Linked DNA regions of Lonchura striata. The main gene of each other region encodes a partner of the protein of the gene in region 2 in a complex. Links are inferred from orthologs where the notes say so. Each region holds a gene or a part of one and is shown on either strand. Other genes may lie near its edges. The genes, in order: ADAP1 and KIF13B.

Region 1 (11,039 bases), on a different chromosome or scaffold from region 2:
TCTACCAGGGCTCTTCTCCTCTGGGCTGCACTGACAGCCCCAGGTAGCAGGGCTGGGTGGATGGAAAGGCATCTCACCACACTGAGGAAGTCAGTTTTTAGGCAGGCAGACCTAGATGGGGAAAAAAATATTCCCGCTGCCACTCAGGATTGCAGAGAAGCTGCACATCAGATCAATGCTGAGAAAATTGCTGGTTAACTCAGGATGCTGAACCAGGCAGGAACAAAACCCCCCCACTGATAAATGGGCCTTCATGGCCCCATGAGCAAGCACCAAGTGGGAAATCCCAGGGGTGTAATGAGGCTGGCTCCTTGCTGGGGGCTGAGGTTGCCTCCCTTGGCTTTTGCTCTTCAGTGCGGGGGTGGGAGTTAAGTTGTGCTGACTTCAACCCCTGGATTAGGCAGGTTGTCTTCAGCCTTGTCCTCACCACCCAGCCCATCCCCAGCACAGGCTCTGGGTGTGCCTGTTGTTTGGCACATCCCCCGTGTCCATGTGCGTGCTCAGAGTGGTTGCTAAGGCAGCACAAATTTCTCTGTGCTTTCCAATTTCTGTCTGATCCAGAGGTGTAGGTGTACTGCGTCCATGCAGCCTAATCCAGAGCAGGATCTGTGTGGGAGAGCAGGGCAGTGCCACGGATCAGGAGTGAACATTCTGTGTGCACAGACACCACTGGGAGCGGTGCAGGTGGGTGGGCTGTGGGGTTTATTTCATTTCCCCCAACCCCAAACTGCTGCAAAGTCTGGTGGAAAAGAGGGACTGGCCACTGCCAACAATGAGGAGGCAGCATGGAGGGGAACATTCTGGCAGGAGGTGCATCCTGACCTCGTGTGAGGGGAGATGCTCAGGCTGTGCATGGGCAGCACAGAGATGTTACACAACTGGGGCACTGCAGGGCTGTGCTGACAGGAGGTGCAAGTCCTGGTCAAACAGAGATGCTGAGTTCACTGGCTGTTGAAAAAGAACCAGGTAGGTGAAAAATGAGAGCGTGTCTGGAACATCTACTTCCACCCTTTTAAGCAGTCATGGCAGGAGACTTGCAGGTGTGGTGGTGCCAGCTAAGAAGGACTCATTTGAGCACAGAGATGTCTGGATTGATGGCTTTATTTCAGCTTATTTTAGCAAGTAATAGGCAGGGGGGTGATGTTTATCACTGAAACTGGAGCTGGCTGTACTTTAGATCACAGCTCTAATCGGCTGGACTGACTGGGACAGTAAATCACTTCAGCAGCACTAATAACACAGGGTGATGGGTGTAGTAAACCCTCTATAGCAGCAATAACCTGGTCCTGCTGGTTCTTTCACTCAGGTTGGTGCTTCTGCTCTGGTTTGTTTATTAAAGCTCCTTCACAAAAGTCACCTGGGTGACTGCTCCGACTCAGCCATTGAAATGGCTGCTCTCCTGCCATTCCCCAACCTGGCTTGGGCTCTTTTTATACCCTGCTATAAAACTGTTTATTTTTGCACCTGTTTAGAAAGGCTTTTTGGCCACAGGGGTCTCATGATGTTGTTTTCATGGCTTCTGGAGCAGGGCTGCTCTGTTGTTGCTAGAAATAATTACTGTTAATTAATTCTTTGCTGATTTTTCTTTGGCAAAGCATACTGAAATAAACAGATAAATGAGCAGCATGCTCTGTATCTCAACGTTGTGGGAGCTTTTAGGAGGCATACAGTGACATCCAAATGATCCCATCAGCAGCCAGAGGAAGGGTGGGACATGGCCCTCAACTTTGTGTGGACAAAGTTAATTGGGGGGAGGCTGAATTACCATCTCCAGCTGTTTGGCAGCTCTCTTCAGGCTATCATTTTTAATCTCTTTCTAGAGAAAAACCACAGTTTTGTTTCCATCTACTACTTCATTCAAATCACAGCTGAGCAGTGCTACAGAAGGGGATGTGCTCTCAGCTGCCTGAGCTGGACCAGCAGTCTGTGACACGAGACTGACCACTGGGGCCCATAACTGCACTGATTTCTCCCTTCTTCTACGGCCTTTTGAAATGGTTTATCTTTTTTCTTCTGAGGAACTCAGGCTCTGCTGCAGAGACTTCCAGACCAGAAGTGAAGTGCTGGGCTTGCCCCCTGTCCTGTGGCCCTGCCTGTAGCACCACCATCCTCTCTGCTCTGTGTCCCTGGCTGGGCAGCCCCTGGCTCCAGCACCCAGGGCTGGCAGCAGGTGGGTGGGTCACTTCAAGACATCACACAGCTCTGTCTCCTGCTTGAATGTCTCCAAGCTGTTCCTGGAAGGATGAGCCATCTGAGCCAGGAAGAGATTAGCTTATTGAAATAGAGCAAAGGCAATCTCCACGATAAGTGCTGCCCTGCTGTTTGCACACCGAGCCCGTCCTGCTGTGTCTCTGACTCACACTGAACTGATGACGTCCTGCTCTGAATAATCACTTTGACTATTTTTTGGAGGAGCTGAGTCCCTGATGTATGAGTGTCATCACACACAGGTTGGCTTTCTCCATGCAGAGATTCCACAGGCCTCAGCCTCTCAATTAGGGTAAATCAGGAATAATGCTGAAAGCAGTGGTCTGCCACAGACATAGGTGAGCTGTTGACTTCCTTGGACTAATTTCATCTCCTCTGTGCGCAGAAAAGAGCCAGTCATTGGACAGTAGAAATCAGCTGCAGCTGCCATGGAGCCAATTCCCTCAGCTGCCCCCTCCATGTCATATTTCACATCATAGGAAATGGGTTTGGTGCAACAACAGGACTATTGCAGAGCTGTTTTTCTTACACTGAGATTTCCCCAGGTGCCATGGAGCAGACATACAAATATTCACCATCTTCAAGCCATCAATTAACCCCCCCCCTCTCTCTCAGACATATTTTGGCTCCCAACCACGCTGTCTGAGCAACTAAGCAGCCCCTGTAACCACGTACTGACCCCCAAACCAGCCCAATGCTGGCCAGAGGCAGGCAGAAAAGAAACTGAAAGAGTGTCCTGAGCACATGACAGGCTTGTGGTTGGAGAAGTTTTGTGGCAGCATGGCTGTGAGAGAGCAGTGATCAGCTCTGGGGTGTTGCAGAAATCTAAAAAAGGAGATTTTGGTCTGAACACCCCCCCCCCCCCCCCCCTCCTTTGCCCTTATTCTCCCCTGTTCTGCTTCCCTACAAAGGATCTCTGTGGTCTGGTTTGCATGGTGGTAACTGCATGACTGTTCAATCATGGGAGCAAAGGATTCCCCTTTTTTCACACTGGTGACACTGGGCTGCAATAGAATTAACTACTATGCAAATGGAAAGAAACCCTGATCTACAGATCACTCTGCAGTGAGACACTTTTAAACCTGCACAACACTTTTTCTTCTTTGAGGGCTGCTGCAGGTGCAGAGCAGCTCTGCAGACACAGGACATCACAGTTCTTTTTATACCCTCACATAATTTCTCCTGCATTATCCTCTTCAACTCAATCCACACATCCTAACCACACAGATGCTGTGAGTGGGCTTTTCCCTGTGCCACACACACAAAAAAATCTCACAGGCTCCCTACAGCAATTTGCTCAAAATAAGAGAAAGTTGGCATCAGTATTGGATTTTTGGTTCAAGCATTTTTAAACTGCCCTGCTCTGAGCTCTCTGCTCTGTGGCATTCCTCCCTCCCAGCTATACCCACTCTTGATTTAACTGGATAACCCAGAAAACTCTTTATTTTTTACAAGAAAAAAACTCTAGGATTGGTTTCTTCCTTTTTTCTTTTTCTTTTGAACAGGAAACCAATACTGCAACGGAAATGAGCTGGTGCTTATTTAACATAGGTGCTGGTGCCAGTACTGCAGCTTGTTCACACAAACCTCCAGCTGCAAGAGCTGCCTCCCCTGTGGTGCTGAGGAAGCCTATGGAATCCTGCCTGGTGTATCTGCTACTCCAGAGTTTTGCTTGAATGCAGTGGCATGAATTATTGATATTTCTGTTCAGGTTTGCTGTTCACGCAGGAATTTGTAATGCTTCCCCACGTTGTGCTGTGAATGCGCTCCCGGGTCACATCAAGGGTTGTGTTTAACACCCTTTTACTTGCATGGTTGTGACATTGATTTATCCATTTCAGGGCTAGGGCTTCGAAATTAACTAAACCCCAGAGAAAACAGCCCTTTCCTAACAAAAGGCAGTCTGGGGTGAAAGGAGCTGATAAGGAAGGGCAAGGAGAACGTATAATGATGTCTGTGCATTTTCAGGGCGTCACCACAAAGATGATGGAAAGGTTTCCAGGAATTTCTGGGTGTTCTTTGCTCTGACCTCAGTATCTGGCATTTCCAGGGGCTGCCCTTGCTTAGCACCTCAGGAGATGGCATTAATAATGTCCGTTTCTAAGGCAACAACCTTGTGACTTGGAAAAGACTGAGTTGAAAGTGTGTGTGTTTACAAACAAACACATCTTACACATAAATATGTAAGGATTTACATACATATGGATATGAATTTATGCCAGACCTCCAAGTCACTTAGCAGTGGAGAGACAGGAAGCATCTGAATGAGGGTGATGTACTGACAGCAACGACAACCTATCTCCAGAGAGTTTGGTCAGAGATTTCACAAGAAGTAGGAGCAAATTCATTTAGGCACCCCCTGAAAGGTGCTACCCACGGAAAAAGTGTGGGCAAGCTCAGAGGAGGGAACAGTGTGACATGGACAAGCCTGAGCAGCGATGCCCATCAGCCTTCTCTAGCCCTGCAGGAGCAACCTTTGCTCTTTACCCCGTGTGAGATATAAATTCAGATGCAGTCCCTGGTCTACGCCAGGAATCACACTCCTCAGGAGTCAATGTCCATCAGGAGAACCTCGGTGCCTGCCCTGGATCAACACTGGGGCAATACCCAACCTCTTAACCTCAGGTAAACCAGGAGTAAATTTACAGAGATACCCTTGTATATGTGAGGTCGGCTCAAGCCTTTGATTTTCCATTGAACAAAAGTTTATCTTCATTTCTGGCTTATTTAGTTCTAACTTTTCTCCCTGACTCTCCACATTCCCTCCACCCACAGGGGCTGTTTGTTTCCCCGTGTGGAGTCTGGAGTAATTGTGATGAGATTTAAATGCTGAGGATGCTGCTGATCGACCCTTGCTGGCCCTGCTCTGCCTGTCCTTTATGAAACTCTCCCCTCTCATCATTGACAACAGGCTCTGTTTTATTTGATTTTATTACAAGATATAAATTTCTGTCTGCAGCCCTGGCTTCCAGCACACGGAGGAGAGAGAGGAATCGCCTAGCAACCAGGGGAACAAAAAATTAAGAGAATCAATAAGTCTTAATGGAAAGCTAAACAGAGACTTTCAAAGCAAACCCTCTCCCTGCTCCCAGCCCCGGCCCGTGGTAAGCCCATGACGATGTGCAGCATCCTGGCTATTGCATGGAGCATTCAGCAAATGCCTCTTCTGGAAAAGCCAAAGTGCAAATGAAAACCTGGCCTAACGTGGGCTTAGGTAAAGCTCTGAGCCTGTGGCATTGACACTGTCAAGCTTGAACACAGCACAGGTGTGGGGGGTTAAGGTACTCTGCTGAGCTGGTTTCACTCTGAGGGTGTTAGAAGTCAGTGCTCCAGGTAAGTGTCAGTGACTCAGAGCCTGAAGAAGGTGAGGGTCTGGATGCAGCAGCTGTTTCCCCACAAAAGGTCTGTTTGGAGGATTATGCCTTTGGTTAGGATGGGACTGAGTTTCCAGACGTTATCAAGCTATGTGTGTAAAACCAGCAAGCCCAGCACGATGTGTGACACTGGGTTGAGTCAGCAAGGAACAGTGCAGCATCCAGTTAAAAACAGAAATAAACCTGGATACAGTCACCTGTCTGGCAGCACAAATGTAAAGGTTATTTAGGAAAATGTATTCCAGGCAAAGGGAGCATTATAAATGTACCAGGCCATGACTCTGCCTGTATTTAAGGGTCTATTTTCTCTTACAAAGTGTTCTCAGGAACCTGCTTGCATGCTCATGTTTGCAGGATCAAGATGGTGGTTTGGTTGTGGAAGTTTTCCAGGAGCTACTGGCAGCCTCCTCCTGCAGATGTTTGTGCACACCCCGAATCTCATGGGCAGCATGGATAGCATGAGCTGAGCTTGCAGGAGGGCTCTGCTTTGTTGGAGAAAACAGAGTTGGATGATTTAAATGGGGACCTGCTTTGCAAAACCAAGATTGTTTTTGTAAGCAGAGATTTGTGAACCAAAAACAGGACATTGCAGCATCACAGGTGACCCATACATGATAAAAAGGTTTCAGCAGGGGTTAAGGAGGCACAGCTCCGAACCTTTCCTTGGCCAGAAGATCCTCACATCCTGCCCAAGTGACACATTAGTCTTTGACTGGCAAAACAAGTCTTGTCCCATAGATGGCATGAGATGGACAGGCATGATGGCACAGGGATGTTTTCCCCCCTGACACCATGGAGGTGTGAAAAATGTGGGAAGACATTGGAGCACAGTCCTGCCAGGACACAGACATGGCAGCTGGTGGTGATGTGCAAGGACATCAGTGAAGGAGGAGCGGTTTTGGAGTGCGCGGGGCTACTGATGAGACCTTCAGAAAAGGTGATCCCCAAAGCTGAGCCCCAAAAGCTGCTGATGTTCGAGGGGCATCCCGAACGTGCTGCTCACGAACCTGCCAAGCTGCTTGTGTGGCAGGGCCCCGGCCGGGGAGAGCTTGGGGTCGCTGCCAGCCGCCGCCTCGCACAGAAGATCCACCGGCGACAGCATCCCTTCCGCGGGCAGGAGTTAAAGCAGGAGAGGTATCCCCGAAGGACGGGACGCCCCGAAGGTCGGCGACCCCTCGGGGGCAGCGCCGCCCGGGTGGCCGCTGGAGGGCGCGGGGCTCCGGCAGCGCCGCTGAGCGCGGAACCGGCGGCACCGGCGGGAGGCACCGGGGCGGGCAGGGCAGCACCGGGGCGGGCAGGGCAGCACCGGGCAGGGCAGGGCAGCACCGGGGCGGGCAGGGCAGCACCGCCCCGGCGGCCGGAGGCGCGCTCGGCGTGCGCGGGGCGAGCGGGGCCGAATGGAGCCGCCCGGGCGCCGCCCGCCTCGCCAGCGCCCCCCGCCCGCGCCATGAGGCTGCCGTAGCGCCGCGGACCGAGCGCAGCCCCGGCAGCCGCCCCCATGGCGAAGGAGAGGAGCAGGAAGGCGCTGGTGGAGCTGCTCCAGCGGCCGGGGAACGCGGCGTGCGCCGACTGCGCCGCGCCGGGTAAGGGCAGGGGAGGCGGGGGGCGCGGGCGGCGGCTGCACCTGCACCTGTCCGCACGGCACGGCACGGCACGGCACGGCACGGCACGGCACGGCACGGCACGGTACGGTACGGTGCAGCACCGCACGGTACCGCTCGGCTCGGCTCGGCAGAGACCGGGCGCGGGGCTCTGCCCGCTCCGGACCGCCGGGGGTCGCGCCCCGCCGAGGGTGTGCCCGACCCCCTCCCCGCCCGGGGGATGCAGCGGGGATGCTCCGGGGCTGCTGGAGGGATGCGCTGCGCTGCCGCGGTCCCCGCGGACCAGCCCCAGCCCGGGTTTCCCCAGTTTCCCCCGGCCCGGCCCGGCTCCTCGCCCGGCCGTGAGCGCTGATGTCATCCCGGCGGGTCCCCGCGGGCTGCAGCGCAGCCGGGGCCGGTCGCCGGGCGGGGGGCTCTGCCGGGGCGCCCTGCCTGCGGGGCGTCCTCCGTGTCCCCGAGGCTGCTCCTGCCCTGTCACTGAGCAAACACATGGGGACGAGCGGCGGCAGCGCTGCGGACATCGTGGCCAACAACCTTTGCCCAGCTGCCATCGATGGGTGCCTGCGCGGGGAGCGGGGCTGGAATGCCTGTAGACGTTTTCGTGTGCGGTGGGGAGAAAATCTGGGCTGGGAATGTCTTATTCGCCTTTTGGATGGTGAATTTTTGGAGTCGGGCCGTGATGCTGTTGCTGAGCAGAGTCTGCATGGGGCGGTGGGATCTGTCTTTGAGAACAGCCTTAGAAAAATTGCAGAGCAAGTAACTTTCCTGTTTTTAAAAAGAAAAAAAAAATCACCATACAGAAAAACCTACATTTATATTAGCTCGAGCAGACTGGCTCTGAGGAGGGATGTAGAAAGGATGTCCTTCTCAGCCTCTGTCATTTTATAGGTTAAAGAATAACCCAGCACTTCAGCTGAGCCCTATTTTCCCAGCTATTGATTTGTTCAGGATGTCAAGATCTATTGGATACCGCTATCCAGCTCATACCATTCCCGGTGGTTTTATATGCCTGATCTGCATCCCAGGACACTGCAGTTCACTTTCAGATGCGTTGTGTCCTCCGGTACCCAGCTGGAAAGGACAAAGAACTTCGGGCACAGCGTGAGAGGCTTTGCAGCGCCGCGCTGCTCTGCCGGCTCCCACCCATCTGCTGCCGGCTGGTGCTGACTGTACCAGCCCACCTCGCTGAGCTTGGGCTCCCCGTGTAGGTGTCCGCCTAAATTGTTCCTTCCTGGAGAAAACTTTACAAACCTGGGCCCTTCAGATCAGCAGGGTGATTCTCCCTCACCCTGTGGGTATAAAACATAAAGCCCCCAGGCAAAATGGGAAGCTTCTCAGCGTCACCAGGGTGGAGATGGAGCTGTAGGTCAATAAAATAGCTCATATCAGGATAAGAAGCTTGTTGTTAAAGGCACAGAAAGGGCTTGTAAAACAACAAAACCATACTTTGGTTTTGGTGACATTTGCATACAGAGATGTCTTAGTGAATCTGAAAGTCAGAGAGGAGAATTTGGGCCAGTGTCTTTTGTAAGTCAAGATCTGCTATATTAATATCATTCTACCTCTTCTGAACCCTCATGGCATTATTTCCTTAGGACCACCCTCCTGTTCAACCCAATTCCTTTAGTGACTACTTTGCTTCAGTTTCTTTGGCAAAGTAGAGCTATTCATGGTGCTCGTCTGCCTGGGAGTGACAATAAACTTGAGATGCCCTGGGCTACTTAACATAAGATAATCACTTGTGTCTGTAGGTAGTATAGAAAATACTCGGCCTGAATTCAGTTATTCAGTCTGGGCAGGTGTGGCAGGCCAGCTCTTTTTGGGGATGAGGTAATGCAGCAGATGCAGGATAAGTGTCCAGAGAGCCTCCAGAAAGGGGTGCAAGAATGTTCTTTGCTGAGAAGTGGGATGCACAAAAAGATAAAGGTGACAGCTGGAACCGGGTGGGCAGCTGACACTGGAAAAGTACCAAAGCAGAGAAAATGAAGTGAAAAGGAAGAGGGAGGCTGTGGAATGAACAGAAGATGAGGGAAGCAGGGCAGACTTGTGCTTTACCACATGTGAGTATCATGGTAGGGCTGATCTGGTACAGCTGGGGGGAAACCAAAGATTCGGATTTGTTATTGCTGTTTCTCAGGTGGGTGAGTGCCTTTCCCTGAAATACTCTGTTAATACAGGATCCAAGATAAGAGGGAGCCATTTAGCTCAGGGATGCTCATAACAAAGAACAGGATGGGTTGGAAATGTAACAGGGGAAAATTCTGTCACTTTAATTTGTGTATTTGGAAGCCAGCTGGGTTTTCTTTTTCTTTTGGAAATATTTGTTTGAGAAATCAACCAGACGGTGAAAGTTTGTTTGTTTTTTTCCTTCCTGCTGTAAAAAGGGTTATTTTCTTTTGTTACTTTTTTGGCATTTGGGAGAGGCTCAGCAGCCAGAGCCCCACAGCTTGTCGCAGGTATTCTGTGTCCTGTCACAAACCCCTGGTGCAATGGAGCTCTCAGCTTGGCATCCCTGGGCTAAGCTGTGACCATACAAAGTCAAAGCTGGGGACAGACATGGGGCATCTGGGGAAGCTTTTCCTCCTGGGTAGGGTAAATAACTTCATCCCCTGCAGGATCAGCCCATCTCCTTGGGGACATCTGGGCACAACCTGCTGCTTGCCTGGGGCTGGGCCAGAATTTGCCACTGAATCATGACTGAGGATTATTGAAGTGCCCAAGTAAGGCTCTGCTGTTCAAGGTGTGTTTCCCTGGTGTGTGCACAGGATGTGCCCACTTGCACCTGGGTGGAATGGGGTACTAAATGTGGTGCTCAGCAAGGTCAGGTCTGGCTCTTCCCCAGGACCTGTGCGTATGTCTGGCAAAAAAAAAAATCTCTTTTGCAAACAGATTTTTGGGGATGTCTCAGGTGGAGAGAACAGTCTGGCCATGGCAGCTGAGAATGCAGAAAGGATGCTAAAGTAGAAAGTGAAAATCAGAGTGTAAAATCACTGAGAGATTACAGTTTTCACTTTTTTGTGTTTGGTGTTTGGAAATTATTTTTTTAGGTTTTTATTAATTGCGTTTTTATAAAACCTTAAATTGCAATGAGAGGTTGTTTTGAATAAAAGGTGTTTCAGTTGCAAAAAATGTCATCGATCTGTAATGCATAATGAGACTGCCTTGGTTACATCCTTGGGACTGAATTCTGGGGCAGGAGCCACTAATAAAGTCATTAGATGGGGCTTTGGGTCCTCTGTCATTGCACACTTCTGTGTCCTGGCTGTTGTGTTTTTTGTGGGTTTAAAGCTGTGCTGTCTCAGTGAAGACAGCATGGTAAATGCAGTCTTAAGTGCAAACTGAGCAATGTTACTGAATTGCTGGTGTGTAATGGCTCTCTGTGCATTAGAATAATCTTTTTTTCTCCAAGACTAATGTGGCAGTTCAGCCTTTTCTTTTTTCTAAATGATTCTTTGTCTCAGGCAATCTTTCCTCACATCATAAGACGGATGGTTATCTCAGGGCATAACAAGACCTTGAGTATTTCTCTCTTTATTTTTCTATGACTTAGGCTCGTGTTTCCATGGAGTGAGAATTATTTTACATTGTAGGAGGACAGAGAGGCTCTGAAGACAGAAATGGAAATCCCATCAAAGCAATCCTGCAGTTTAAACCCTCCAGCAGCAGTTTACATGGCTTGTTATCATTTTATCTTTGTTATTTGGGATGGATTACTGAGACATGGATCCTGGCTAACACTGGCCTCTGTGCCTGAAGCCCAGGGAGGGGTGAAGGATGGAGGAAGAGCAGAAGGCTCATGCTGGAGGCTCATGGAGCTCTGCTGCTCTAATGGTGTGAAACGAGATTTTCTTCCAGC
Region 2 (11,131 bases):
GTAGCCCAAACAGTTTTATAGCTTATCAACCATCACCAGGAAATATTCCAAACTCCAGGCAGTCGTGCTTTACAAGGATAATGGTGAAGAAAAGCCTTGTGGTTTGCACATTGCCATCACGATACAACAGGTGCCACTTCACGCCCTCTAATACTGTAATTAATCTTATAAACCTGCTTGCACAAACTTCAGTTTATAGATAAGTTGTCTCTGTAGTAATTTCCATGGCAAAACAAACAAACAAGAGCACAGGAACAACCCCCACTTCCTCACCTCAAACCCCAAAAACGTTTCGAGTAGCTGGAAATGAAACCTCCTACAAGAAGAATAGAAGGACATAAAATTACCACCTGACACAGCGATCAGAAGCTTGTACAGATACAGAAGCAAATTCCTTCCTCACATGCACTGGAAACAGAATCTTCAGCATAAAAGCATGAGAAGATCCCTGTTTCAACACTGACAGTCTGGATAAATATACATATCAACACAACAGATACCTGAATGTGTACTTACAGGCAACCCAGGTATTTAAACTGGAGCTGCAGGTCTTACACTACAATCCTAGTACAGTTTAACATGGCAGCATTGCCAGAATACAGGCAGTAGCTTTCCTGCCTTTCTTGTTCAAAAAGTATTGACCCAAGGGAGATGTAGCAGTCTGGACTGGCTTAAGTGTCAAGCAATATCCTTGAGCACAAGTCATGTTCTTTTAAAACAGAACAACTTTTGTCAGCATTAATTAACACGACACTGAACTGATTCAAAAACACAAGGAAACACAGTGACTTAATATACTTATGTACAGCCTGTACCCAAACATCACCTGAAAACAAAGCATTCAGTCATAAAATTCTTAATTAAAAAGCCTTCAGCTGTCATTTGTTTTGCTTCATGGTATGGCCTGAGATTTGCATTTACCTGAAATATGATGAATATCTGCTAAAAGAAGTCAAACATGACACTTGCAAAAGGAAATCCACTGCAAATCTTAAATAAAACACCAAAAGAACTTCCTGATTGTTATCAAACCCTCATCTGAATAACGCAGTGCACTAGGAAATACTTTAGTGAATTACAGAGCCAAGAAAATAAAAGACCAGGAGCCTTATCTAACAAAGCAGTACTGAATTATTTAATTCATAAAAGCCTGTTAATCGAGATCCCAGTTTGCAAAGTAGAAGGGATGTAAAAAAAGACGCCTCAGTTGCCACCCAGGAGAGCCTCCAGCTTCAGACGTGGCACTGCGAACGTGTGGACACAGCAGCAATTTTATAAAAGCAAAGCTTCAGCACAGGCTTGGTAGGACTGAGGTCTCATTTGAAGCAAGATACAAAATGAAGTAGCCTGGATGCAGAAAAAGTCCAAACCCAAGTACAATTAGAAACACTTCCTCTCACTAAAAATTAGTGCTATAAACTGAATTTATGGATTACCACTCTGCATGAGAATGAAGCGAGACCCTCAATCCAAACACCCTGAAATGTGAGTGCTATAAATAACCAATTATTTGATACACAAATCCCTTCCACATGCAGGCAAGGAATCCATTATACTTTTATGAGCTGTAAAAACTCCTAACAGTTAAGCACACCACTTTTATTAACCTAATAAACCCTTGCCTTAAGAAATTAATAACTCGAACACCAAAGACAACCACCACCACCACAAGTAAACACCGAGAATATTTCAAAGCTTAACTTTCCACAGTCTCAGCCATCTGACAGGTTTGTAACGTTAAGCCCTTCGGTGCAGAGGGAAGGAAAGAACATTACTCGTGATCCTGAAGAAAACAAATACTTGCTTCACGTCCAAAGTCCCAGAGCTCCATACAAATAGTGCTCAGAACAAAATGTGTATGGAAGAGCTTCCAGGAAAGCTGTCTCTTGCCTCAAAACTTAATTAAGAAAAAGCAAGGCCCCAGAAATCTTACAAATGGATGAATCTTCAGAAAATCAGTTGCAAAAATGCTTAAATTTAACTTTAAATAGGTAAGAAAAACTGTAGCCTTCATACCACTGTCTGTTTCTACAAATTCAAGGTGCATCAGAAATACCATAGGGAGGATCAGTTGTTTAGACCCAGCCAAACATCTGGACTGTGACAAATAATCTGCTGGGGAAAAAAAAAAAAAAACACTTCCAGGACATTTTGGTTGAGGGAGAAAAATACATGAATCTTCTAGGATAGACTTAAATGGATTTAGGTATCACTCACAAGTAACAGGATATTTAATAGCAGCAAACTGCCAAGAGTGGGGGGTTCAGGCCCTCCTTCTCTCTGATGAGCATCAAGGACTGATACTCAAATGTCCCTCACTCCTGGATGAGCTTCCTGACAAGTGTCATCCTGTCCATAAGATTTTCAAGTTTATTCAGAATAAAAGACAAAGAGAATTTGGACTTGTGGGTCCCTTCCAACTCAGAATATTCCATGAAAGAGAGTACTAAGATACAATCTAGATTTCCTCTAGATTCCCAGCAGTTCCTGGCTGGAAAGGGACATATGGACAAACTCGGGGCTGAACAGACCGAGGATGCATGTGGGAGGAAGAGGTGCATTAGTCACCCCTGGAGATCCAAACTTCACTGATGGAGGCCCTGTGCGAGCTCATCTCATCTGACGTGCTCCAGAGGTCCCTTCCAGCCTGAATTATTGTCTAATCCCGGGGGTGAGGAACATCAAGCAGCCAGGAGACGTCTGGGGCAGAGCCAAGGAAATGACCTATGTCAGGAAAGGGACATGAGCAAGAGCCCAGATCTGTCACCAACACCCAGCACCACCTTCCAGCTCCTCTCCCAGCTCCCACCAACTCCTCCACGGCCACTCCATCTCCTCCAACCAATTCTCTCTAAGGATGGATTCTGCTCTGTTTTGAGAGCTGGCTCCTGAAGTATAACAAAATGAAGCTTTTGGTCAAAATATCCTCAGTTTCTCTAAGCCACCAGACTGTAAAGGCATCAATTCCATCTCTTGTGCTGGAAGTGGGATCCAGGAGCTCCTGTGAACTCAGTGAACATTCCCCTGCTGCCGTTTTACAGGCATAGAATCACTGCATTTAATGTTTTAACCCCTTTTCACTGAAAGGAATTAAAAAGGTATTATATGTCAGATGGTGTAGGCAATAAAGGGCTTTCCCTCTCCCTCATTTTTTTTTGCTTCAGCTACTAAACTGACTTCACTGGATTCCCCAAAAGGAATTATTGGCATACTCCTGTGAGAATGTGGGATAAAAAAAGCGCCATCCTACACTTTCTTGGATTTCTGCCTTCTTCACCTTCCCATTCCTTGGCTGAAGCTGCCTTTTCATACTTGCTTCCTCATCATCCAGAGCAAGTTTTTCTAATTAAGACAAGTAATAAACATTTAAACAGCTGCCCAGACCACGGTCTGATTACCATAACCCTTAGGCAAGTTTCGTCGAGGGGAAAGAAAAAAAAAAAAGCCAACAACAACCCAAAAAACCACAACAACAAAAATTCTCTTGTCAATTCTCGCTTCCTCTTCTGTCTTTTCTTGCTTGTTTTTTGTCCTTGTGTCGCTGTCATCTGGTTAACAGCGTCCCACTCAAGCCCCGAGGGTTGGAGAGCAGCGGGGTGAATTAGCACGGGACAAAATGCAGAAAAAAGAGGCATTTTCCCCCAAATCCGCAAAGCGGGAAGAAGGAAGCGCTGTCCCAGCAGGAACCGGCTGTAGAGCAGGTGCAGGAGGTGCGGAGAGAGCTTTTTTTCGCCCGGGGGAGCGGACGAGGCAAAATAAATCCATCAACCCAGGCAGGTTTGGGAAAAGGGATCTCGGGAGAGGGGGGCGAGCACGGCGCGGCCGCCCGCCTGTGCCCACCCGGGCCGTGTTTATTCCCGGTAAACACTGAAGCACACACGGACACGCACCCATTCACCCGCACCGGGACACACCTGTCCCGACCGACACCTGTCCCCAAGGACCGGCACCCCCGCGCCGCTCCCGGGAAGGACAGGGGAGAGGGATGCTGAGCAAGAACACGGAGTCTCACCTCGCCGGTTCATGGGGCGGACACGCACCGCCACCTTCACTTTGGAGTCCCCCATCCTGCCGCTCCAGCCTTCGCGGCTCCCCCGTCCCTGCCCGGCTTCCGTCTGCCGAGGGAGAGCCGGAGCGGGGAGGAGCGCCCGGGAGGGAGGTGCCGTGCCGGGCCAATGCCGGCCGGACTACAACTCCCAGCGAGCATCGCGCAGCGCCACGCCTCCTCAGCTCCCGGCGGGGTGCCGCGATGCGCGCTGGGAGGTGTAGTTTTTTCTCCCGCCTCCAGCTTGGTAATGGAGCAGGCTGGCTGAATCATGGAATTAATTAATGTGGGAAAGGCCTCTGCGATCATCCAGTTCAACCTGTGATCCATCACTGCCTTGTCACCAGACCAGAGCACTGAGTGCTATGTCCAGGTGCTCCTTGGACACCTGCAAGAATTGGGACTCCAAAAAAAGCCCCTTCCGATGTCTAAGCACAGAATCACAGAACTGGTCAATCTAAAAGTGACCATAGCGGGTCATCTGGTCCAACCCCTCTGCTCAGGCAGGGTCAACCCAGAGCACAGAGCACAGGATTGCATCCAGACAGTCCTGGAACACCTCCAGTGGGGGAAACTCCACACCCTTTCTGGTCAACCTGTTCCAGTGTTCGGTCACTGCACAGGAAAGAAGCTCTTCCTCATGTTCAGGTGGAACTTCCTGGGCACCAGATTTTCTGCTAAGAAATTCTTCCCAATGACCAACCTGGCACAGTTTGAGGCCATTCCCTCTCATCCTGTCCCTGTTCCCTGGGAGCAGAGCCTGACCCTGCCCCTGGCTGTCCCCTCCTGTCAGGGCTTGTGCAGAGCCACAAGGTCCCCCCTGAGCCTCCTTTTCTCCAGGCTGAGCCCCTTTCCAGCTCCCTCAGCCCCTCCTGGTGCTCCAGCCCCTTCCCCAGCTCCGTTCCCATCCCTGGACACGCTCCAGGCCCTCAATATCCATACTGAAGTGAGAGAGCCAGGCACTGAATGCTTGTATGTGGAGTCCTTCAGAATAGAGGGATTCGTCAGGGGGAGCAGCCAAAATGGATTTATAGACTGCAGGGAGCTCAGGATCACCCCAGGCCCTGCCACTCTACCCCGGGTGGCTGAAGGGAAGCCCATCACATCTCAGTTCCCTCCTTTTGGGGAAATACTGAGGTATTTCATGTTGAGCAGACAACGGCATTGCCTCTGGAACTTGCACACCTCACCTTGGAATTTCCTCTGTGTTCCACAGGGTTTCTGTCCATCAGAAATCACTTTATAAGTCACATCGGTTTAAGATCACAAAATCACAGAATGGTTTGTGTTGGAGGGGACATTAAAAGCTCATGTCGGTCCAAAGCAACCCCTTCCACTATTGCAGGTCGCCCCAAGACCCATCCTGGCCTTGGACACTTCCAGGGATCCAGGGGCAGCCACAGCTTCTCTGGGCAACCTCTGCCAGGGCCTCACCACCCTCACAGGCAGGAATTCCTTCCCAATACCCCATCTATCCCTGCCCTCTGTCAGTGTGCAGCCATTCCCTGTGTTCTGTCCTCCATCCCTTGTCCCAAGTCCCTCTCCAGCTCTCCTGGAGCCCCTTTAGGACATGGAAGGAGCTCTGAGATCTCCCTGGATCCTTCTCTTCTCCAGGTGAACACCCCCAGCCTGGCTCCAGAGCAGAGGAACTCCAGTCTTTAGAGCATTTCTGTGGCCTCCTCTGTTTTTACTCCATCAGCTCCACGTTTTTCCTGTGCCAAAGACCCCAGAGAACCATCATGAGCTACAACTCAAGGTAAGGACCATGGGTCAGGTCCTGTCTGGATCTGGTTTCACAAAGCAACCCCTGGTGGGTCCAGTATCACCGAAGGCAGCTTAGTAAAAACCTCAGCAGGAATAATCAGACACTGCCTGAACAATATCACAATTTATCCTCAATATTCCCCTCAACTGCTCAATCACATTGCAAAGACCAAGAACGAAACTAAAATGCAAAGATGCAAAAAAACCACCCCCAAACCTCATTTAAATGGTCATGGTTGAAAACCTTTGCAGCTGCTATTTTAGTTCAAAACAAAGATTCTCTCAATGTTGCTTTGAAAGGGCAGATTTCAGCAAGGACAGAAACCCCCTCCCCCCTAAAATTCAGTTGTAATTCTTTGGCTTTCCAACATTGAATGAGGCTTTGTGACAGAAAGAAATAAATAACACATGTCCAAGTGGGTTTGAGATAAAATTTTGGCAGGTGGCACTTTTTGCCCAGAAGAACTGCACTCAACATTTATCATTTCATGTCTGACCTGAAGAATATCTTGTCAAAGCAGAGAGAAACCGAATATTAAGTTGGCATTGAAATCACACTGGGATTAATGTCCATGTTCCTAACAGCATCCCAAGCAAGCATGAGGGCTGGGCAGATGTCTTGAAGCTACAAAAAAAATATTAAATAACAGGTCAGAGCAAGCAGAATTGTGAAAGCTTGAAGCAAAAAGTGAGTTTTTATCTGCAGCAGGAGAAAACAGCAGAACCTGCAGCCCCTCAGTTCCCTGTGAGAGGGGACTTCCCACTCTGAGCCTGCACAGTTGGTCCCTGCACTTGTGAACTTGAGGATCCAATTACAGGATGAAACCCAGCTTTGAACTTCTTGTGGTATTTTCCAGCTGGGGCCTCGACAAAACCGCACCAAGGTTTTCTGAAAGCGAGCACTTTGGCCGTGGAGATAAATGTCATGCTGACTTTTCATCTGAGTGGAGGGTGGGTGGTTTTTACCTCGGGCTGAGTCACCTGGAATTTGATTTAGAGGAATGGGGTGAAGCCCGTGGCCAGGTGTGAACACAGCTGGGGATGGCAGGTGCCACCCAAAGCCAGCCCTTCCTCCTGCACCTCCTCTCCTGTATCAGTCACCACTGGCTTTGGTAAAATTAAACAGCGAATCTTACAGGGGAAGGATCACACACCACTTTTGAATTTGATCCTAAGATGTGGTAAGCACATTTCTCTCCCTCTCAGGATTTTTTATAGAGGTGTACAGAAAGAAATGAAAGAGAAAAAGAATTTTATTTCTGCTCCTTGTTTTTCCCTATGTGGAATGTGTTTGGAGAATTGTTTGAACCTGATGGCCAATCCAATCCACCTATGGCTGGACTCAAGAGAGAGAGGGTCACAAGTTGTAGGAAAGTTAGAAATAAAGTCAGAGAAAGTAATATATAGTTTTAGTATCCTCCTTTTATATAGTATATTAATGTATTTTAACATAGTTATAATAAAGAAATCATTCAGCCTTCTGAATTGAGTCAGACATCCTCATTTCTTCCCATTGGGTTCGCCTGCATTTACAATACAAAGAGGTCCCTGGTGGGTTTTAAGTCTTGCACGCTTTACTCCAGTTTTCTACTCGGAATGAAAAATCCGTTTTAAAAATTGAAAAATCACTTTTTTAGCCTTCCTTCACTTCTAATAGCCAAGGAGAAACGATATTTACACATAACCATTGCTACTCCTGCCAAGTTCTTCAAAGGCAGAGACACCCTTAGAGCGCAGAGACCCTTCTCAATTTTGGTGCTGTGGATGGGCGCTTTGGGAGGATTATTTATTATTTATTATTATTTATTGCTCGGGAGCAATAAATTCTCATGGCTCTCTGCAAGTCCTGCCTCTGGACTTTCCCTTTATGCTCCAGCCTGCTTCCTGCGCTGAATTCCAGCGGTGCAGCTCCTCTCGCACTGGCAGCGAGCTCTGCCTCAGTGTCATTCCCCCACTGTGAATTCCTCCACAAGCCCTTTCCCTGGCTCGGGGTCCCACAATCTGTGGGAAGCATCTCCCTGGAGGGGCACAGCTCGGAGGGAGGATATTGTTTCCATTCACAGCTCTGGAAGATGCTAATTATGCTGGGAGGAAAGAGGGGGGGGTGGCAGCTTTCACTTGGGAGGGACAGGCCGGGCAAATAGTTTGTGAAACGCCAACTTAACCCCATCTTGTAGGGAATTGTCTGCAGCTCTTTTCCCCCTTCCTAGTTACTGTAATGAGGGGCTGACTTCCCAGATTAGCTCTGCCTATTTAAATGCTAATTTAATTAACAAAACATCCTTGGGGGGGGGGAGGCACTGCTTGTCCCTCCCATTCATTTATCGAGTTTCTGAATGCGACGCTGTTGTCATCAGGTTGAGGAGCCACAGTGATGGCTGTGCCCACCTGGTTGAGGCAGGGCTTGAACAGGGATGTGGACGAGAAAAAACAGGATCTTAATATATATATATATATATATATTTTTTTTTTTTTTTTTTTGACAATTAAATTTGATTACTTTTACTTAGTAATACACGGTTACGCGTGTCCTGCCCGGGGCGTGCGTTATCACCAGCCCGCCAGGGAAGAAGAAATTTTTGCTTTTATCTTGATGAAGGTAGGCATGTTTCAGCTCTCAGATCATCTAGAAAGAATTTTATCTCCGAGCAAGCCAGAAAGCGTGACAGTCCTTTGGATGTCCGTTCATCCAAACCACAGCAAGCAACTAAATCGAGTGCGTTTTAAATCCGCTTTTCCATTTGTTCGGCTGCGCAACGAAAGAGAAGCATCGATTATGGATTTGCTGTAGACCTTCTTTGTGCCCAGAAATCATAAAGGAATTAGAAATTTGGAGGCACAAGCGAAAGCAGAAGACATGTTATGAATTTATTTCTACTTTAATAGAGAAAGAAAGTGTCAAGGAAAACAAATATTAAGAACAGGTGAAAAAAAAATCTGGATAAAACAGCAAATTGATTTTTCCAAATAATTTGTGTCAAAATTCTGCTTGTTATAAAAATTTATTTATTTGTTTCCAGAGGAATTGCTGAAGTTTCTGATGCAAGACGTTGTGCAAATGTGCAGGTTCAGGAGATTCACCCCAATTTTTGCAAAGCAGTTTCTGTGCTTTATTATTTTCATTGGAACTTGGTAAATTTGAAGGATTGATCGTTTCCAAGGCCATTCATAACTCTGAATTACACTGATCCTGAGATGGATTTTTAAAGGTATTTGTGTGTGACCTTCTGCCCTCACTGTGAAAAGAATCCCCAGATAAATAAACGAATCTTTGACGTCTTCTTGCAGCAAAATATGAGTGAAGCCCCACCAAACAAACTTTTTATAGACATCTCCCTCTTTTTAAAAGTCATTCCAATGTTCAAAGTCTTGGCCATAAATTTTATGGCATTATAGGATGTGATGCTTATTCTTATGTTACCCAGAGGGAATCCCAGGCTCTGATATCCCCATAAATCCCATCCATGGCCTGTTTATGGAAGGGAAATTCATTATAGCTGTGCTTTAATTGTGGAATTTCAACACAATTTTTACCTCTGGTGAGGTATTATCAGCAATTTATGTGCTAGAATGAGGCCCCTAATGAGAATTTTCTCCTCTTGTTGACTAAAAATTTTTATTTTCCCTATCAGCTGCTCAGTTTGTTGATCCAGCCTGTGCCAAAGCAACTGGTTTTACCTGTCACGTTGCATTTTATTGGAGTGGTTCCTTCCTCAGACAAAGATCCCACATTGGATTTCATCTGTGTGAGAAGAGAATAGATTTTCTGTCCTAGGAGGAAACAGAGAGTCTCGAGAGAGCTCGAAAAATACCAAGTTTAGCAGGAGAGCAGGTTTAGCTGTTGCAAGACAGGTTTGTTATCAGAGAAAAGCAAACTCCCCTCAACACTAGGCAGTCACCAATACTCTGAAGAATGCATATTTAGGGGGTTGTGTAATGTTTGTAGCCTTTATCTCCTCCAAATTCTGAGTCACAGGATCCGTGAGACCTGAACTGCCTTGACTTCAAAGGCTGGAAGGTGTTACAGCTTCATCTGCTCTATCACATTCTTGCTGCTGAGGAGACACCTGCAGAAACCTCATTTTTGGGCTTTTTCACCCATCCCTACTTTCTCTCCTCATCTCTTTCCCTCGGACACCTGATCTAAACCCAGATCTAAATTTTCCAGCTGCATTTACACAAATAATGATGAAAATGATTTAATGCGTTTTGCAAATAGCATCGCAGGCCAAAGTGCCAGCTCCAGATCTCCCCAGATCTAATGAGTCGGTAATTCGATTTTGGAACCGTGAGTTTGTGATAAGTGAGGGTGATGCTGTCACCAGTGGGAGCCGCAGGATTTTATTGATGAAAAAGGATTTTATCAGCCACCAAAAAAAATCCTTTCTGACTCCCAGGCAAGAGTGACACCCGGTGGCGGCGGAGTAAAATAAAATCAGCTCTGATTGCAATGTTCCCTTTTCCTCTCTTCGTTTAGTGGTTTTTTTTTTTTTTTTTTTTTTTTTTTGTTTTGTTTTTTTTTTTTGGTGTGTGTGTGGGTTTTTTTGGTTGTTTTTGTTGTTTTTTTGTTTGTTTGTATTTTTTGGGTTTTTTTTTTCCTGCTGATTTTAAAGATAGAGCTGGCACAGGGATGTACTCCTGCTCTTGTAGAATGGGCATCCATCACCTGTGGGCACAGATTCCCTGGGATCTGGATTCCCTGGGATCTGGATTCCCTGGGATCTGCATCCCCTGGGATCTGGATTCCCTGGGATCTGGATTCCCTGGGATCTGCATCCCCTGAGATCTGCATTCCCTGGGATCTGCATCACCTGGGATCTGGATTCCCTGGGATCTGGATTCTCTGGGATCTGCATTCCCTGGGATCTGAATTCCCTGGGATCTGCATTCCCTGAGATCTGCATCCCCTGGGATCTGGATTCCCTGGGATCTGCATCCCCTGAGATCTGCATCCCCTGGGATCTGCATCACCTGGGATCTGGATTCCCTGGGATCTGGATTCTCTGGGATCTGCATTCCCTGGGATCTGCATTCCCTGGGATCTGCATCCCCTGGGATCTGGATCCCCGGGGATCTGCATTCCCTGAGATCTGCATTCCCTGGGATCTGCATCCCCTGAGATCTGCATTCCCTGGGATCTGCATCCCCTGGGATCTGGATTCCCTGGGATCTGCATCCCCTGGGATCTGGATTCCCTGGGATCTGCATCCCCTGGGATCTGGATTCCCTGGGATCTGCATCCCCTGGGATCTGGATTCCCTGGGATCTGGATTCCCTGGGATCTGCATCCCCTGGGATCTGCATTCCCTAGGATCTGCATCC

The links.
Region 1: the proteins of KIF13B (region 2) and ADAP1 are in contact, whole or in part, in a crystal structure (PDB 3MDB), measured with the Homo sapiens proteins. The link is inferred for Lonchura striata from reciprocal best matches to the Homo sapiens genes KIF13B and ADAP1. Residues at the interface, in NP_056069.2 of Homo sapiens: Val451, Asn452, Leu453, Asn454, Ala455, Asp456, Pro457, Leu463, Arg512, Phe514, Asn516, Gly517, Arg531, Leu533, Asn536, Asn537, Phe539; in NP_006860.2 of Homo sapiens: Trp137, Asn143, Gly144, Gln145, Phe146, Leu147, Pro186, Ala187, Lys188, Ile189, Gly190, His191, Pro192, His193, Tyr211, Glu213.

What each region holds. Positions count from the first base shown.
Region 1 is NC_134618.1:12,423,720-12,434,758, reverse strand, and holds the start of ADAP1 (arf-GAP with dual PH domain-containing protein 1), read left to right. Parts: upstream 1-6,995; 5' UTR 6,996-7,080; coding exon 7,081-7,165; intron 7,166-8,797; exon of another isoform or gene 8,798-9,243; intron 9,244-11,039. UniProt on the Homo sapiens protein: GTPase-activating protein for the ADP ribosylation factor family. Binds phosphatidylinositol 3,4,5-trisphosphate (PtdInsP3) and inositol 1,3,4,5-tetrakisphosphate (InsP4). Regulates the incorporation of CD63 and CD9 into multivesicular bodies.
Region 2 is NC_134605.1:111,665,052-111,676,182, reverse strand, and holds the start of KIF13B (kinesin-like protein KIF13B), read right to left. Parts: upstream 4,120-11,131; 5' UTR 4,068-4,119; coding exon 4,013-4,067; intron 1-4,012. UniProt on the Homo sapiens protein: Involved in reorganization of the cortical cytoskeleton. Regulates axon formation by promoting the formation of extra axons. May be functionally important for the intracellular trafficking of MAGUKs and associated protein complexes.